2 linked regions of the Oreochromis niloticus genome follow. The protein of the gene in region 1 purifies or fractionates together with the protein of each later gene. This does not show direct contact. Links are inferred from orthologs where the notes say so. Each region holds a gene or a part of one and is shown on either strand. Other genes may lie near its edges.

What was found. Proteins that work in one complex are often made in the same cells at the same time.
Region 2: the proteins of ddb2 (region 1) and cops8 purify together in Homo sapiens (affinity purification with mass spectrometry; 6 studies listed by BioGRID and IntAct, counting the BioPlex papers as one, with this or other methods). This does not show direct contact. The link is inferred for Oreochromis niloticus from reciprocal best matches to the Homo sapiens genes DDB2 and COPS8.

Annotation. Positions count from the first base shown.
Region 1 is NC_031972.2:51,231,756-51,239,102, reverse strand, and holds the start of ddb2 (DNA damage-binding protein 2), read left to right. Parts: upstream 1-4,295; 5' UTR 4,296-4,298; coding exon 4,299-4,455; intron 4,456-4,547; exon of another isoform or gene 4,548-4,551; coding exon 4,552-4,686; intron 4,687-4,765; coding exon 4,766-4,875; intron 4,876-5,080; coding exon 5,081-5,272; intron 5,273-5,437; coding exon of another isoform or gene 5,438-5,583; intron 5,584-5,784; coding exon 5,785-5,951; intron 5,952-6,742; coding exon 6,743-6,842; intron 6,843-7,077; coding exon 7,078-7,255; intron 7,256-7,347. Other genes in the region: kinesin-like protein KIF23, read right to left, coding at 2,343-2,471, 3,481-3,547, 3,796-3,809.
Region 2 is NC_031987.2:7,710,787-7,718,411, forward strand, and holds the start of cops8 (COP9 signalosome complex subunit 8), read right to left. Parts: upstream 3,097-7,625; 5' UTR 3,017-3,096; coding exon 2,945-3,016; intron 2,285-2,944; coding exon 2,214-2,284; intron 2,053-2,213; coding exon 2,004-2,052; intron 622-2,003; coding exon 489-621; intron 1-488. UniProt on the Homo sapiens protein: Component of the COP9 signalosome complex (CSN), a complex involved in various cellular and developmental processes.

The DNA.
Region 1 (7,347 bases):
ATTCACTGCACTGTTAATGTTAGCTATGTTATATTGCTGCCTCTGTTCGGTGGTGTCGAGCCAAACGGACTTTAACGTGTGTTTGAACGAGCTGACGGTTCACTCGTTAAGCTGAAAGAAAGATGCTTTAATCACAGGAGTCACACGTGTCCACTGGACCATCTGGGAACTCTTCTTGTTTAGCACTCGTAATAACACAAACACTTAATTTCTCCTTCTCTTGTGCTGTTTTGTAGCAGTGTGTACACCTGAGACTGTCACCTGCCTGTCTGTCCTGCACTCTCTCTCTTTTTCTTTCTCTCTGATTTTGCAATAAAAGTATGAACATGTATTTATAAGTTACACTTGTGTTTGAATCCTGCAGCTTATCACACATTTGATTTCCATGTGTGACAACTGCAAGTGTCCAGAGAGAGGACAGACTGAGGGACCCACTGCTGCACATCATCTGTGAGGCTTTGCACCCCTGATGATCCACCAGGACAAACTCAGCAGTGTGTGAGGAAGAGGAGGAGGAAGAGCCAGCAGCAGCTGACAGATGGAGAGAATAGACAGACTGTTCCCTGTTTGTGAAGGACTGCTAGAAAAGTTTAAAATAACTAATTGTCTGTCCTGAATCAGTCTTAGTAGGTAATGTTCAAATAATTTTATCATTCCAGTGTTTTCAGTGTGGGAGAAAGTACTCAGGGCCTTCAAGTTAAACACGATGAAAGGCAGAAACAAGTTTAATATTCAGAAACCTAAAGTATGTATCAGCAGCAGAATGGAGCTAAAAATAAATGTTTGTTTCAGTTCTATGAAGCTTTGAGTATTTTGGATTAGTAGTACTGCTGTGTTTGTTGCATCATATTGCTGTCATTGTTTATATGCTTTATATATTCTGAGGTAAGTTGATCTATAGTGTTACATGATATTCTATAAGGATGTTATGTGTTTGTATACTTTTTGCCCAGTTTGACCCATTTAGCAGAAGTCAGCCTGTTTAAGGCTCTAAGTCAGGGGTCCCCAATCTCAGTCCACGAGGGCCGGTGTCCCTGCAGGTTTTAGATGTGTCCTTGATCCATCACAGCTGATTTAAATGGATAAATTACCTCCTCAACATGTCTTGAAGTTCTCCAGAGGCCTGGTAATGAGCTAATCATGTGATTCAGGTGTGTTGACCCAGGGTGAGATCTAAAACCTGCAGGGACACTGGCCCTCGTGGACTGAGATTGGGGACCCCTGCTCTAAGTCATACAGAATAGATATCAAAGCAGTTATGACATGGTCTGATTTTCTCACCCAATAAAGGAATATTTTATATATCAGTCTACTCTTCATTTTATCAGAAACAGTTATCACAGCTCGTACATTTTCTTTTTATACATATATGTAAGCACTGAGCCAAATTTAGTAATGCCAACATACTGAAAGAACAATATTTGTCTCTTATATATAATACATCTATATATAACCTGTCAAAGATGCTTGTCTTTGAGTGAAGATTTAAGGTGATAGGAAATATAAATAACTGCAACTCGAATCTTTACTGAAGCTCAGTATTTGACACAGTTCAAACTCACTGCTGTAATAACTAATAATGATTAATATAATAACTATAATATTGGCCATATTATATTTACATTACCAAAGTGAGATGACTTTAGTCTCATGAACAACATAAGCTAATTGTTATTTACTAGCTAATCTTAAAATGACTGTTCAGTACAGATATGAGTGCCAACAATCATGTTTTACAATCCTGTGGTCTCAGCCTCAGATACATATCAAATCACACAAAGCTCATGTAGAAACAAATGAACAAAATATGTTCTCCTTCATTTCTGTCAAACAATGCTGTATGAAACTTTTCCAGCGGATAGTATCATGGTCGTTAAGGCTGCGTACTTTAAGGCTGCAGACCCTGAATTGGGATACAGCCATAGACACACCTAGTGGTGTGGAACAAAAAAAACTAAAAAAAAATGGTGGTCTTCAAGGCATTTGTAGCTATGAGAGGTGATAGCAAAAGTCACAACACACTGCGAAGTGTGCCCCCACCTGTCCAACATCACTACATCTCATGTAAAATTACACAGACAAGCATCAGGGCAAAACAGGCCCAGTCCTGGCACTCTATCAATGGAGGGAAAAAACAAACATGGAATAATTTGTTTTTAACAGTTGTAGAGTTTTATGACACAGGAGTAAGCTACGAAATTTCCAACGATGCAAACAATATTTATGACTGGATTCAGTTATTGTTGGTTTCAGTCTTTATGCAGCTTTTCCTGACAATAACAGAAACACACAATCTCTCTACCTTTAATCAATAACTACTCCTAACTTATCTGATTTCTTACCTCTTTGTATTCTCCATTGCGGTTTGTTTTGAAGCCCTCCGGGGTGTGCATCTGGATGGTGGTACTGCTGATCACCTCAATGCAGCATTCCTCATCCTCAGCACCCAGGGGTCGCACACGGCAGTATACCTGAAGAACAAAATGACACACATTAAAACAAGCTCTAACCATACATTTTGAGCTTGTTACTACTGCAAAGATATTTAATTTGTCCAAGAATATCTGATAAACGATTTAAAAAAAACAACAAAAAAAAAAAAACAACACCAAACAGACTTTGACATTCTTGGATGCAGTAGGATTATTGCTACCATTTGTTTCAGCTTATTGCCACTTGGTGAAACTTCTAAAGATACTTTTCTTAAGAAACTGAGCAGTCTTGTTATTCACAGACAGGGTCTTTAAACTGTTGCTTTTATTTTTTTTAAGAAAAAAAAAAAAGGGGGAATTTTGGTTGGCCCAAAAAACTGAGGCGAGATAGCAATCGAAACTTTTATTACTTCTTCTTTCTGTTACTCACTTTAGGGATCACCACAGCAGATCATCTACCTCCATCTCACCCTGTCATCACCCAGCATCAACTATGTCACACCTCACATCTTCTGCATGTCTTCATTCATTTCATCCATGGATCTTCTCCTTGCCTCCAAACAGCTCAACCTGAGCTGTCAGTCTGATGTACTCATTTCTATTCTTGGCCATTCTGGTCACTCTCAATGAAAATCTTAACATCTATAACTCTGCCAAGTGCCAACTCCAGCACTGCCTCCCATATTTTTTGTCAGTGCCAATGTCTCCAAACCATACATTATAGCAGTAAAACCTGCTATCTTCAAGTTTAAAACCTCAGTTAGATGGCAGTCAGGTGGCACGCCTCTCAATAAAACTCTTCCAGATCAAAAAGTCTAAATCTGTTGCCTTTGAGGAAGAAAACTGATGGCTGTAGAGCGAAACTGTGGGCTCACAGTCAGGTTGACGAGAAAGTGTCCAGAAGAATTTTCACTCTGTCAGTAAATTACTCCACTCTAGGTTCAAACACTCCCTCACTGGAATGTTTTCTCTTCCACCCACTGGAATGTATGAGATTCACATTTGTACTGTTTGCCGAGTTGACCTTTAAGAATTCAGGGACACTCACCCCAACTGGGTCCGTCTGGTTGCTGGAGGGTTTTTTTGGAGGAGGCCTGCGGGGGGTTTTACCCTTCCTGTAAAAGTAAATAAATACAAAGTCATTCACAATTCAAACAGAAGCGTAAGCGTTAGCCATTAATGACTATGTGATGGCTTAACAAAGCCACTTGCTAGACGGCTAATTAGCCCCCTGCTAACGGTAAAGCAGAGAGTCAACGTCCGCTCGTAACTCCTTAAACTTAAGTTCGCCATTTTGTGATAGTGTAAAACGCATAAACAATACAGCCTACCAGCGACATATAGAACATAAACATGTACTTACAGATGTCTCGTCATCGTAGCGTGGTGCCCGTGCTGGTTTCACCGTTTCTGTTTATCTAGTTTTGAATCTTCCCTCCGCCTCAAAGCCTCAAATCAGCGACTTTTTCAAAACGGACCCGAAGCAACCAATGGGATCTGGCAACGGCAAGCACGTGTTTCCGCCTTTACTTCCGAGCCTCTTACGCCTCAAAAAAAAAAAAAAAAAAAAAAAAGTTGGCAAATGCAGTAAAATATAATATACAAACTTGTTTCAGCCACTTTCATTCTTCATCTTCATAAATAGTCCTTGATGTCTGCTACCAGAGAAATGTAAATCCTTTCTTTGTTTTACACAATTCTTAAATACTTTATGAAAATTATTTAGTTTAATAATTTAACATGACATTGACATAACGTGACATTTTTTATTTATTTATCGCAATCTTCTGTGAGCATTTCGTTGCCGTTACCTTACTTTGCAGTTTGAGTTGTTTGAACTCCAAACATGGTGCACATTGAGTTTTCATGGTGGATCTACAGTGCCACCCACCGTTCACCAGCTTTAACAGACACAAGTTACAAAACAGACATTTTTCAGCACATAGTCACGTGTACTGTCGTGTTATGCAAACAGAGACGTTCTTGCTGTTAAACTGCAGCGTTAAAGCACTGAACATCGCAGGTAAGCAGCAATATGAACATTAGAGGTGCAGACAGGTGCACAATCGTCCGCTTTGTGACGAGTAACTGTTGCTTTGTGTGTGTGTTTACAAGGAAGAAATGAAAAGCAAGCCCACGAAGTCAGCCGCAGCTGGATCAAAGAATAAAGTGAAGAAAACACCTGAGGGGGTCTCCAGTCCAACTCTCTCCAGAAAACTACGAGACAAAAAAAATGGCGAAACGTCAAAATCAGGTATGAGGCTCTGAAAACACCGTCAGTCCAGTGACAGCACTGTCTTTGTGACACTTGAATGGGTTCGTGTGTCTTCTAGGGACTGCTCTCAAGTCTGCAGGAGTTCAGAAGAGAGGTTGGGACGGAAGCATACTGCACTATATCTACAAAAGCACTCTGGGCCAGAGTTTGCACTCACAGATGAGACAGGTAAGAGAGCCTAATGTGGTGCTGGCCCCAGTGCTGCCCAAAATACTCACACACTGTTCCAATAGTAATTAAAAAAAAAAAAAAAAAAAAAATCTAATCCAGGGACATGTGTAAGTTCACAAGTCATAGTCCATCTGTTACCTCTCGTTTCCTCTTACTGGATTTATTCAGTGCAGGTGTGAATCTAGCTCTTTTGTCTCCTCAGTGTCTCCAGGAACCTTTCGTTCGCTCTCTGTCATCCTATCATTTCCACGGTGGCAGCAGCCCCTTCGACCGCAGGATCACCTGTCTTGAGTGGCATCCGACACATCCTACTACTCTGGCTGTGGGGTCCAAGGGTGGAGACATTTATCTGTGGGACTTTGAGGCGCCTGCCAAGAAGACCTTTATTCAAGGGGTGAGTTCCTGTTTAATGGTTTTGATTTGTTCTTTCGATTGATCAAAAAGACATTCGGCAAACTGATTTTAACAGAGGTCAGATGCTTCTTCAGGCTGTGGTGAATTTCAGAGCGGTGCGATGTAGTTGTACTTAATGAAACACTGTTGTTGGCTCTCTGGTTAGATGGGGGCTGGAGACTCAGTGACAGACATGAAGTTTAACCACTTAAATCCCACTCAGCTGTTCACCTCATCTATGGGGGGTACGACAGCACTTCGGGATTTCAGTGGGACAACGCTAACAGTGTTTGCCAGCACAGAAACACTGAAGTAAGACTGGAGTGTCCACTTTTTTTTCTTCTGTGCACTAAAATAAAAAAGCGTTAGGGGTTAGTCTAGCATCAGTCTTCTTACAGAGAGTTCAGAGATCTCTCAAGGGAACTTGTTGGGTGCTGGTGTGAACATCTGTGTGGTAGTTGTAGTCATAACTGCTGCCTGGTGAAAGGCCTACATTTGTATTTGTGTGTGTAGAACGGAGCAGGAGACTTTATCGGAGGGATGAAGTTTTGCCCCACGGACCTTTCTAGAGTCTATGTGGCCTCTGGCGAGGGCACACTGACCGCACAGAGTTTTGAGGGCCGCGCACCCACCGTTTTGTCCAGAACTCAAGACTGCGGCCACGATCACCACAATGTTTGGTGAGAAACTCCCAAAGAAGACTGATGCTCGGCATTATGAAAAATGGAAAGTTTTTTCATTTCCCTCTACTGTGTCTGTAGGACTCCTGCTGCCACATTGTTTTAATAGCATTAAAAAGGTTTCGTATTTCTATTCCTATTTTATGAAATAAAATTTGTCAGGGCTATAATACAAAAAATGAATGCTATTTGAAATCTAGTAGGACACTGGAGGGCGCATCCTCGACCAAGGCCCATAACAGGCCATCTAATAGAAGGTGATCCAGATCTTCACCAGTATTTCAGTGTGTTCTTCCTTTGCCCATGTTCCCGTCTTAGAGCGCACACCTCCACCTTTCTTCTTCCCTTTAAAAGACTAGGACCAAAGAGAAGAGACACCATGCTCCAAATTTAACTACTGTCACGATTGTGGAAAAATGGTTCTACATTACTTCAGTAGAGACTGCTTCTACAATCTGTAGATTCAGGTGAAGAGTAACTGGGTCATGTCCTGCAAAAACCATTCTCTTTAATTCATTAAAAAAAATAAATGAAGTTTAATTCATCTCCATAGTTTCCAGTGTCAGACTCAATCCCTTTGTAGGCAGATTTCAAAAAGCATGACTATCTGCATGGGTAGACATCAGTAGAGGTAAATGAGAAAACACAGGTAGCTGAGAGCATTGTGCGTATATAATGTTATCTCTTGTTCAAGTGTCACATAGTATATTACATCCTATTTTGAATTAAAGCTATGATTTATGGAATACATTATTTTGTATGTTCTTATATGTAGCTCTTTTCTTTCATAGTTTTTGGTACTGCTGCGTTGACGTGTCTGTAAGCCGGCAGATGCTCGTGACAGGAGACAATGCGGGGCAGCTTTTACTTCTGGGTTTGGATGGCCAAAAGGTGTGTGCCTCTTTCTTAATGAGGACTTCCACTGTTTTTTTTATAAATTAAAGGATCAGTTATAGTTCTTATTTAACACAGAGCACTTTTTCTTTCGGCCCTTCCCTTTAGGGGTCGCCCAAGCCAATCATCTGCTTCCATACCACTCCTATTGTGCAAGTCTTCCTTTGCTACATCCAAAACCTCCTCTGTGGCAATTTAATGTTAATTGATTTGCTCTGTTTTAATGTTTCAGATTTTCAGTGACAAATTGCACAAAGCCAAAGTGACCCACGCAGAGTTCAACTCCCGATGCGACTGGTTGCTGGTGACGGCCTCAGTTGACCACACAGTAAAGCTCTGGGACTTGAGGAACATCAAGGACAAGAAAAGCTTCCTCTACGAAATGCCTCACGAGAAAGCCGTCAACTCAGGTAGCACTTCCTCATAGAAAAACCTCTCATGCTTACTACTTTAAAAAAAAAGAAAAAAAAAAAGAAACAATCAGTTTTCTAATTGTCTTTAA
Region 2 (7,625 bases), on another chromosome or scaffold:
TGTAATTGACACATGATACAAATGCAGCTAGAACTGTGACGATCAGATGATATAAATTTATGACCTGATGTTTCTAGAAAATCATTCCTTTGAAGTTGAGAAGGTGATGTGAAAAACAGGCGAAAGTATGTAGGTATGCAACCACCTTCTTAATATGCAAGTACTCTGTTGTGGATATCTGATGTACCCTTCATGACCATGAGGGTTTCTGTTTATTTTCCCATTGCTTTGTTGCATCATAGCCCTGACTGGGTTCAGCTGTTGCCCCCTGCTGGCAGTTATTCTAAATCATTTAGGAAACTTTTTTAAAATACTGAACTCACTTAAACGTGCTGACAGAATATGTTGCCTTAGTTTCTAGTTTCAACAGAGCCAAAGTTATATATTAGATAAAGAATTTGTGGAAGTATAATTAATCTGAAAAGTTTTTTAACAGGTCAATGTGATGCACGAGAAGTCAGCTGGTGTTTTTAACATTTTTTGGTTACCTCTAAGGGCCTCCATGACATGAAGAATATTCTCCGACCACTGATAAGCAGCAATGGCTGTGTAGATCCCTGGAAAGTCTCTCTGCCAAATACGCTGGCCCACTGCCCAAATAGCTGCTAATTCAGGATTTGCCTGCAGGAAACAAGTGAGAAGCATTTCAAACACAATCAGAATGCAACACTTGACCAGGCAGTGGTTTTAATGCTACTGTGAAGAGCATTCACACCCCAATATATATGTAAGACTGTTGGATCATAATGGTTCCATCATCCTTAAATTGTCTTTTCTTGGACTCTGCAAGAAGTCATGACTTGATTGGCAGTACCATAATTCCATTTATTTCATAGTGCTCTTGGTTGTCTTAGCAGGTCCAAAAAGTTTTCCAGTGGGGCAAATTGATCTGCCAGGACTTAAGATCATTTTGTCACACAAGTAAAAATTCCAATTACATGTGTTCTTAGTTACTTACATGTACAGTTGAGCAACTTTTCTATAAACATGAAACTGGTTGTGTCGGGGTGGTAAAAAATGTTTGCCCTTAATATTAAATATGGTGCAGGCACCACAATGGCAAAAAGCTGATGAAAAACACAGACCATACATTTCTAACTTCTAAGCTGGAGCTGGAATACAATTCCTTATTATCAGATTGTTCTGAAAGCTCCCTGAAAAGCCTCCAAAGCAAACAGAGACTAGAAAAAGAAATCTTTATTCCATATTAGCCTCTCTCCATTGGCTCCTTGTACCATCCCTTTGTCATGCTATGATAAATCTGGCTGCTCAGTCATTAAAGGACTTCTCCACTCCACAAGTTTGTCTTTTCTCATTAAATTAACCAGTCACATGACATTAACAAAATGCTATTCAAATTGAGCATTCGAATGAGGAAGAAAGGTAACACAAGACACTTTGAACGTGACATGGTTGGAGATGTCAGATGGGCTGGTCTGAGTATTTAGGAAACTTCTGATCTGCTGGGATTTTTCCCCACATCTCTAGGATTTACACTGAATTTTCAGAAAAAAGGAAAATATCAAATGAGTGCCACTTCTTGTTGATGACAGAGTTTAGAGGAGAATGGTCACACTGATTTGAGCTGATAGGAAGGCAAATCCAATGGCCTCCACAGTCACCATATCTTAAGCAAGTACAGCGTTTTAGTTGCAGAACAGGAGATTTGTCATCGATAAACACCCAACAAATCTGCACTGTGTGATGACCTCATGTCAACATTGACCAAAACCTCTAAAACCACTAAGAAATTTTTCCAGCACCTTGTTGAATTTATGGCACGAAGAATTAAGGCAGCTCTGAAGACAAAAGAGGGTCCATACAGTACTAGCAAAGTGTACCTTACAAAGTGTCTAGTAACTGTATACATGACAGTATGAGTAGGTTTAAAAAATGTAATAAAACCAACATTGGATTTTAAAGTAAACAGCATTTACTGTTCACATTTACATGCTCAAATGTTATTTCTTTAGCAGTGTTTACACATGTTTTAACAAGCTTACCGATTTTATTGCTTGGGGAATCCTCTTCCATAGATACCTGGCATTATTCCTGTTAGGAAAACACACATTCATAATACAGATACAGGCACAGGCAGCAAAAAGGGGCTCATCAACTAAATTGAGTTCAGCTGCCTGCAATCTGAGACAAAAATATACATTTAAATGTATTTTTTAACATAAATACATAGACATCAGATATCAGTGACTTACATGTCATTATTAAGTAAATAGAGCGCCAGCAGCTGAGCGTAGACCTGAGGTGTTGCAATGCCCCCTGGAGCCTGTTACAAAGAAATGCAGGTGTGCGATTAAACATTGGAGCTAAAACAAGCGGAAAACTGAACAAATGTTACTTCTCAGAGAAAACAGGTTATTATTATTGTCTTATTATTGTCATAATAAAAAAAAAATAGTCGCTGATGTTCACCCAGCCAACAGCAAGCGTCCAGTTAATAGTTTTAGCTCCTGCTAACATTACAGTAGTGGTCTCGCTCACTTATTCTTATACTATAAACTGTCAGTCCGAAAGCTGCATGCAGGCAGGCAGATAGACAGACAGACTGTCAACACAGGTAAGACTTAAAGGTTCTTAAATCAAACACATAACCTGCAGATATGTTCCAATTTAACGGAGAGATTATGACCGCTAACTTCCTACTATCTGCTGGCAGGTAAAGGCAAAGATCAAGCAAAGAGCAGTCCAACATGAACACGCTGCTACAGCCTATATCTCATTTTTAACGTGAGAATGTTTCGCCTACGAGTTAACGTGTTTGATAAGTTGATTTCCCAGAGCTTTAAGGTAGGCTACACACAGGCTAGGTTTTGTAGCCAGTACGCTAGCCTAAAATCTGTAGAAACCGCACCGTTCCCATCATGCTTTCAAAGCCACAAAGTCTCTGAGACCTTCCTGTTCATATTTAAGATCACAAAGTCCTTACCTCGAGCTCTTGGGCTTCACACTGCTCTAATAATTTATCAAAATTTTCCTCCATAATCACAGCAGTAGGCATGATGATGCCTAGCTGTTGCACCGGAAACTTCTGCTTCTTCTTCTTCTTTGGTGTCTTAGCCGTATTATTACGAGTCCGACGTCGGGTGTGTGCTCACTGGCGTCCTCGGCTGGCTGTAAGGCAAACTGCAGTGAAATACAACTGAACCAAAATAGTAACATAAATAAAGCATAGATAAATAAACTCCAAACAAAAGAGAGAACATATAAGAAGAAAAATAATTTTAATAGAAAAGTCAAAAGGAAGTCTGCATTCACAAATCAAAGAAATCTAAACCCTAAATCCAGAGAGCATCCTGAGGGTATACAATTTTGCTGATATACTTTGGATGTGAAAGGTCACTCCTAATAATTAAAAGTTCTTTTAATTGATCAAATTTGTTTTGTTATGACACAAGTTGTCTCTTCTAGTCTGACAATGACCCTTACACAGTGCATGAGAATGGGTCATAGAATGGTTTGATGTCTATGTGAATCACATGCTATGGCCTCACATTTTTTTCCAAATGGAGATCCTGGACACTGCTGGAGGAGACTCAGAGCTGTGGGATTCTGAAAAAATGACAACTAGCATTTTTTTTTTCACTAAAAAACAAATATTTGCCATTGGTGACGAGCAAAAACCTGTCAGTGCAACAAATTTCACCCTAAAGCTGCCCTAATACATTTTCCCCCAAAGCTGTATGACAAACATGTCTGAGTTACACAGAGGAAGACTGGAGTCAATGCAATCAAACTGTTTATCAGAGGGATATGTGTGATTTTTAGAACACTGGAGCCTAACATTAGTAGCCATAATGTTAGCTTACAACCAGGTGTTGTTTTGCTGGCTTGTTGTCACTTGTGCAGAGACAGGAGCGTTGTGTGTGTAATCTTGTAACAGTAAGTAATAAGCTAATATCAGGAATAAATAAGCACATTTATGCACTTTTTGTGTGGTCAAAAGATTAAGAGGAAAACACTTTAAAAATAATCGAGAAAACTCCTACAGTGTTCATCAAACACATAACTATACTAAGATTTTTGTGGACAATGAAAGAAAGATGATGACAGCTTTTTACTAGATTTTGAAAATGTGATACTTGCAAATGAGCTTAAATATATTATAAATGGGAAAAATCTTACAAGCTATGTACAACAAATGAGCCAGCTAATCTGAGACGAAGGTCTGACTCGTTGTTAAAGATATTTGCAGTAACTATTGTTTCTTTAAGTAAATTTAGAGTTTAATGAGTTTTATTCATATAAAAGTTCTTGTCATTATTATTAAATGCTGTGGTTCGGCAACGTTAAGATATACGTGCAAGTTTAGATTTATTGGTACTTCTACCAGGGAAACTATCACTCTTTAAAACACTCCCAGTGCTGAGAGATACTTTTTTTCTCTTAATTCACTAATGATCTTCCCGCCAGTGGTGGGCATTCCTCTATTTTAATTCCTTTTGATCTTTTCTTTGCCTTTGATGGTGGTGACTACACATACCTTTTTATCCCATCCACCTCTAAAAAATTAGCTTGGCAACTGAGACACAGCTCTCATGTGTTTTCTTTATTTTGACAGATATTCTACTGTTGATATAGAAAATTTATCATTCTCCAAACTTCTGACTTTTTTATCTGCATTGAGGGTGGTATTTTGCAATCTTAAGGAACACTAAATGTGTAAAAACAAACAAAAAACACCCCTCAGACATCTTTTTCACACTTTAATTACAACATTTTTGAATTACTTAAAAAATCTAGTTGTACTGACAAATCTGAGATTTTTAAAACTCTTTTTTAATGTCACAACCTCCAAAATATTTGTTTTTATCATTGCTGAACACAACATGCACTAATCAATTTATCAGCTTCACAAGCTCTTTTTAATCTCTATGGAAATAATAGAAATCTTGTAAAACAACGCATATGGACCAATTTCCATTTCATGTTCCACAGAATTGTTCCAGGGGGTTTTATGGAGAGTATGCGAGATTACTTAGTTAGACGGTCTGGGGAGGATGTGTGGAATGGGGACACTGATCTGTTTTGCACTAGCAAACAAACTCATGGGCAGGCAGCTGAGTAGAGTTGGTGTGGTCAGCAACAGGCATGACAGCTGAAGAGCAGAAATACGGGATTCCACTCACAGGCAGATTTTCAGCTGCCCGACCCAACCCTGACACGAGAGGGAGTGGAAAATCAAAACAGCAAACAGATTATCACATTTCTAGGAATCTTTTTGTTGATTTAACTTCATGGAAGGCATATCAGATATCTGGCATTGTCCCTGATTGTCAGGAGGTATCCCAGATGTGCTTCAGGTAGACTTAAAGAGCTACTGGAGGTATACAGGGTAGAAATATGACTACGATGCGATCTTGTAATGTGAAAGCAGTTTGATATACCCTTGAAATTGAGTTTTAGAAGAGCTGGAACTTATTTATTGCTTTCCAGGAATTGATGTTAAGTTAGACATTTAATTTGTGTCTTACATTGATTCTCATTCTCCTGCTTACCTGTTTACCAACTTTGAACTTGCTTTTACATCTATGCTTTGCTCTCTTAAAATTCCTTTAATGCACACAAATTTAAAAAAAAATCTATTTGTGTCTGAATTACCTTCTGTAACTTTCTGAAATCTTCATTGGCAAGAATGAAAAGTCTCATCTAATGTTCTGCTAATTTCACCATGAGATAAGACTGGACCTTCCTATTACATTACAGTCACAGTACTACAGTTCTCAGCAGCCACTTATTATAAACCTAGAAGACTGTTTTCAGATGTGCTACCTTGACCCTCCTGTCACATCCTCAATAAATGAATAAAGTATATAGGGACCATAATCCCTGTTATGGTGTAGGCCAAAGGAAAGGATCAAAGAAATGCAAAGCAGCGGTGTTAATAGTTTAATAATGCTGAAAGAGAATCCCATAAACACATGAATGAATCACATTCCACCACATAAAGGACATCAGAACAGCTTCTTTCTCTGAAGTGTGGATAACATAGAATAGAATATAAAGAATAATAATAAAAACAGATTTTATTTACTTAGCTTCTCCTCTCTAAATGTATCTCAGTGTTCAGCTCTGAGAAGAAATCCCCATGTGCCGGATCAGTGGAATTCATGAGGACTTTTGATGTTCCTAATTTTTTATATTCGTGAAAGATTCAGCTCCAGACATTATTGAGACTCTCTGACTCAATCAAATGTTGACATGGGGAAAACATTTTAAAAAACTCATCTTAAGAGCCTCATAAACTGTCAGGTCTTGCAGATTGAGGACCCAAATGCAGGCTCTAAAAGGCAGGCGGAAATAACACAAAACGACCTTTTATTTCAAGTTGAGGAAAAACAGCACGTAAATGGTGAAAACACAGACAACAATAGTGAACACAACAAAATAATTAATACGTAGAACTGGAAAAATATAAAGACCATAAGTTAAAAAAGAAATCAAAACCCTGAGGGATAATTAGACTCAGTAATAATAACAGAAATTGTCCTGATAAATTAAAGTCAAAATGTAGACAATAAACCAAGTACAAAACAAAAAAGCCAAACAAAAAAAGACCCTGAAGGCAGAAGAATTCCCAAGGAGTCCTACGACGAAAATCCAGGACCATGAGATAAACACCCTATTATAAAAATAACTCTGTGATTTCTGTAAGAGAAAACACTGTTAATGATGTGATGTTGTATGGCTTTAGTTCCACAACTAAGAGCTGCTAGGCTTCTATAAATAACTGAGAAAATGGGTCTTTGATCTCTGAATTGTAAGAGTTTAATGACACTGAACGCATGACTGTCTTTGGGCAGAAGGATGCACTGAGAGGAATTGTTGGGTTGCTTATTTTCACTTAACAAAAATGAATGCAGGTGTCTCATGTTCTCCAAATCTTACCTTATTGTGTCCTTTTTAACAAGATTAGATATTAGAAGAATATTAGAAGATGGGAATACATTTTTACTAATACTAATTTTTAATATTAGTTATGCTCAGCTTGAATCAGAAGGAAAAGAAGGAAGCTTAAAAAAAATCTATATTTTCTGTTGTCTACATTGTAGAGGGTGACTTTACCTCTGAAGGGGAAAAGGGGAGTAGGGAGGAGGTTAAAGTGGGATTCAGCAGGTGGGGAACCCTAACATCAGTTGTAGCCACTCAGTGTGGGGAAAAGTGGGTCACAATAGGTGAATTTTCTTAGTGTACAGCATGTGATCAGCTGATATGGATATGCACTGAGGTTCACTGCTCTTTGTGGATGTAGACAATTTTGTTGTACGCAATCCAACAACATGTACGTAGATGTTTCAGTCAGTGTAGGGGATGGAGAACCGTTTATACTAACTTTATACTAGATTGTATAAAGTTGGTATGAATCATGTAAACATCATCAGCTTAATTTCAGATTCATCTCTGCTAAACTTGATTGTAACCTAACTCGCACCACAGTCACTGTACACCAGTCACACACTGTTCTATTGTGTGTGACTGGTGTTCTGTTCTGTTTAAAACCATCACAGTACAGCAAACTGACCTGTTTATTTTGTGCTAACCTGCAGAGTATTTTCATGTAGTCTTTAAATAAAATAGTCTACCCTAGTTAACAGGTCCAAACAGAAAGA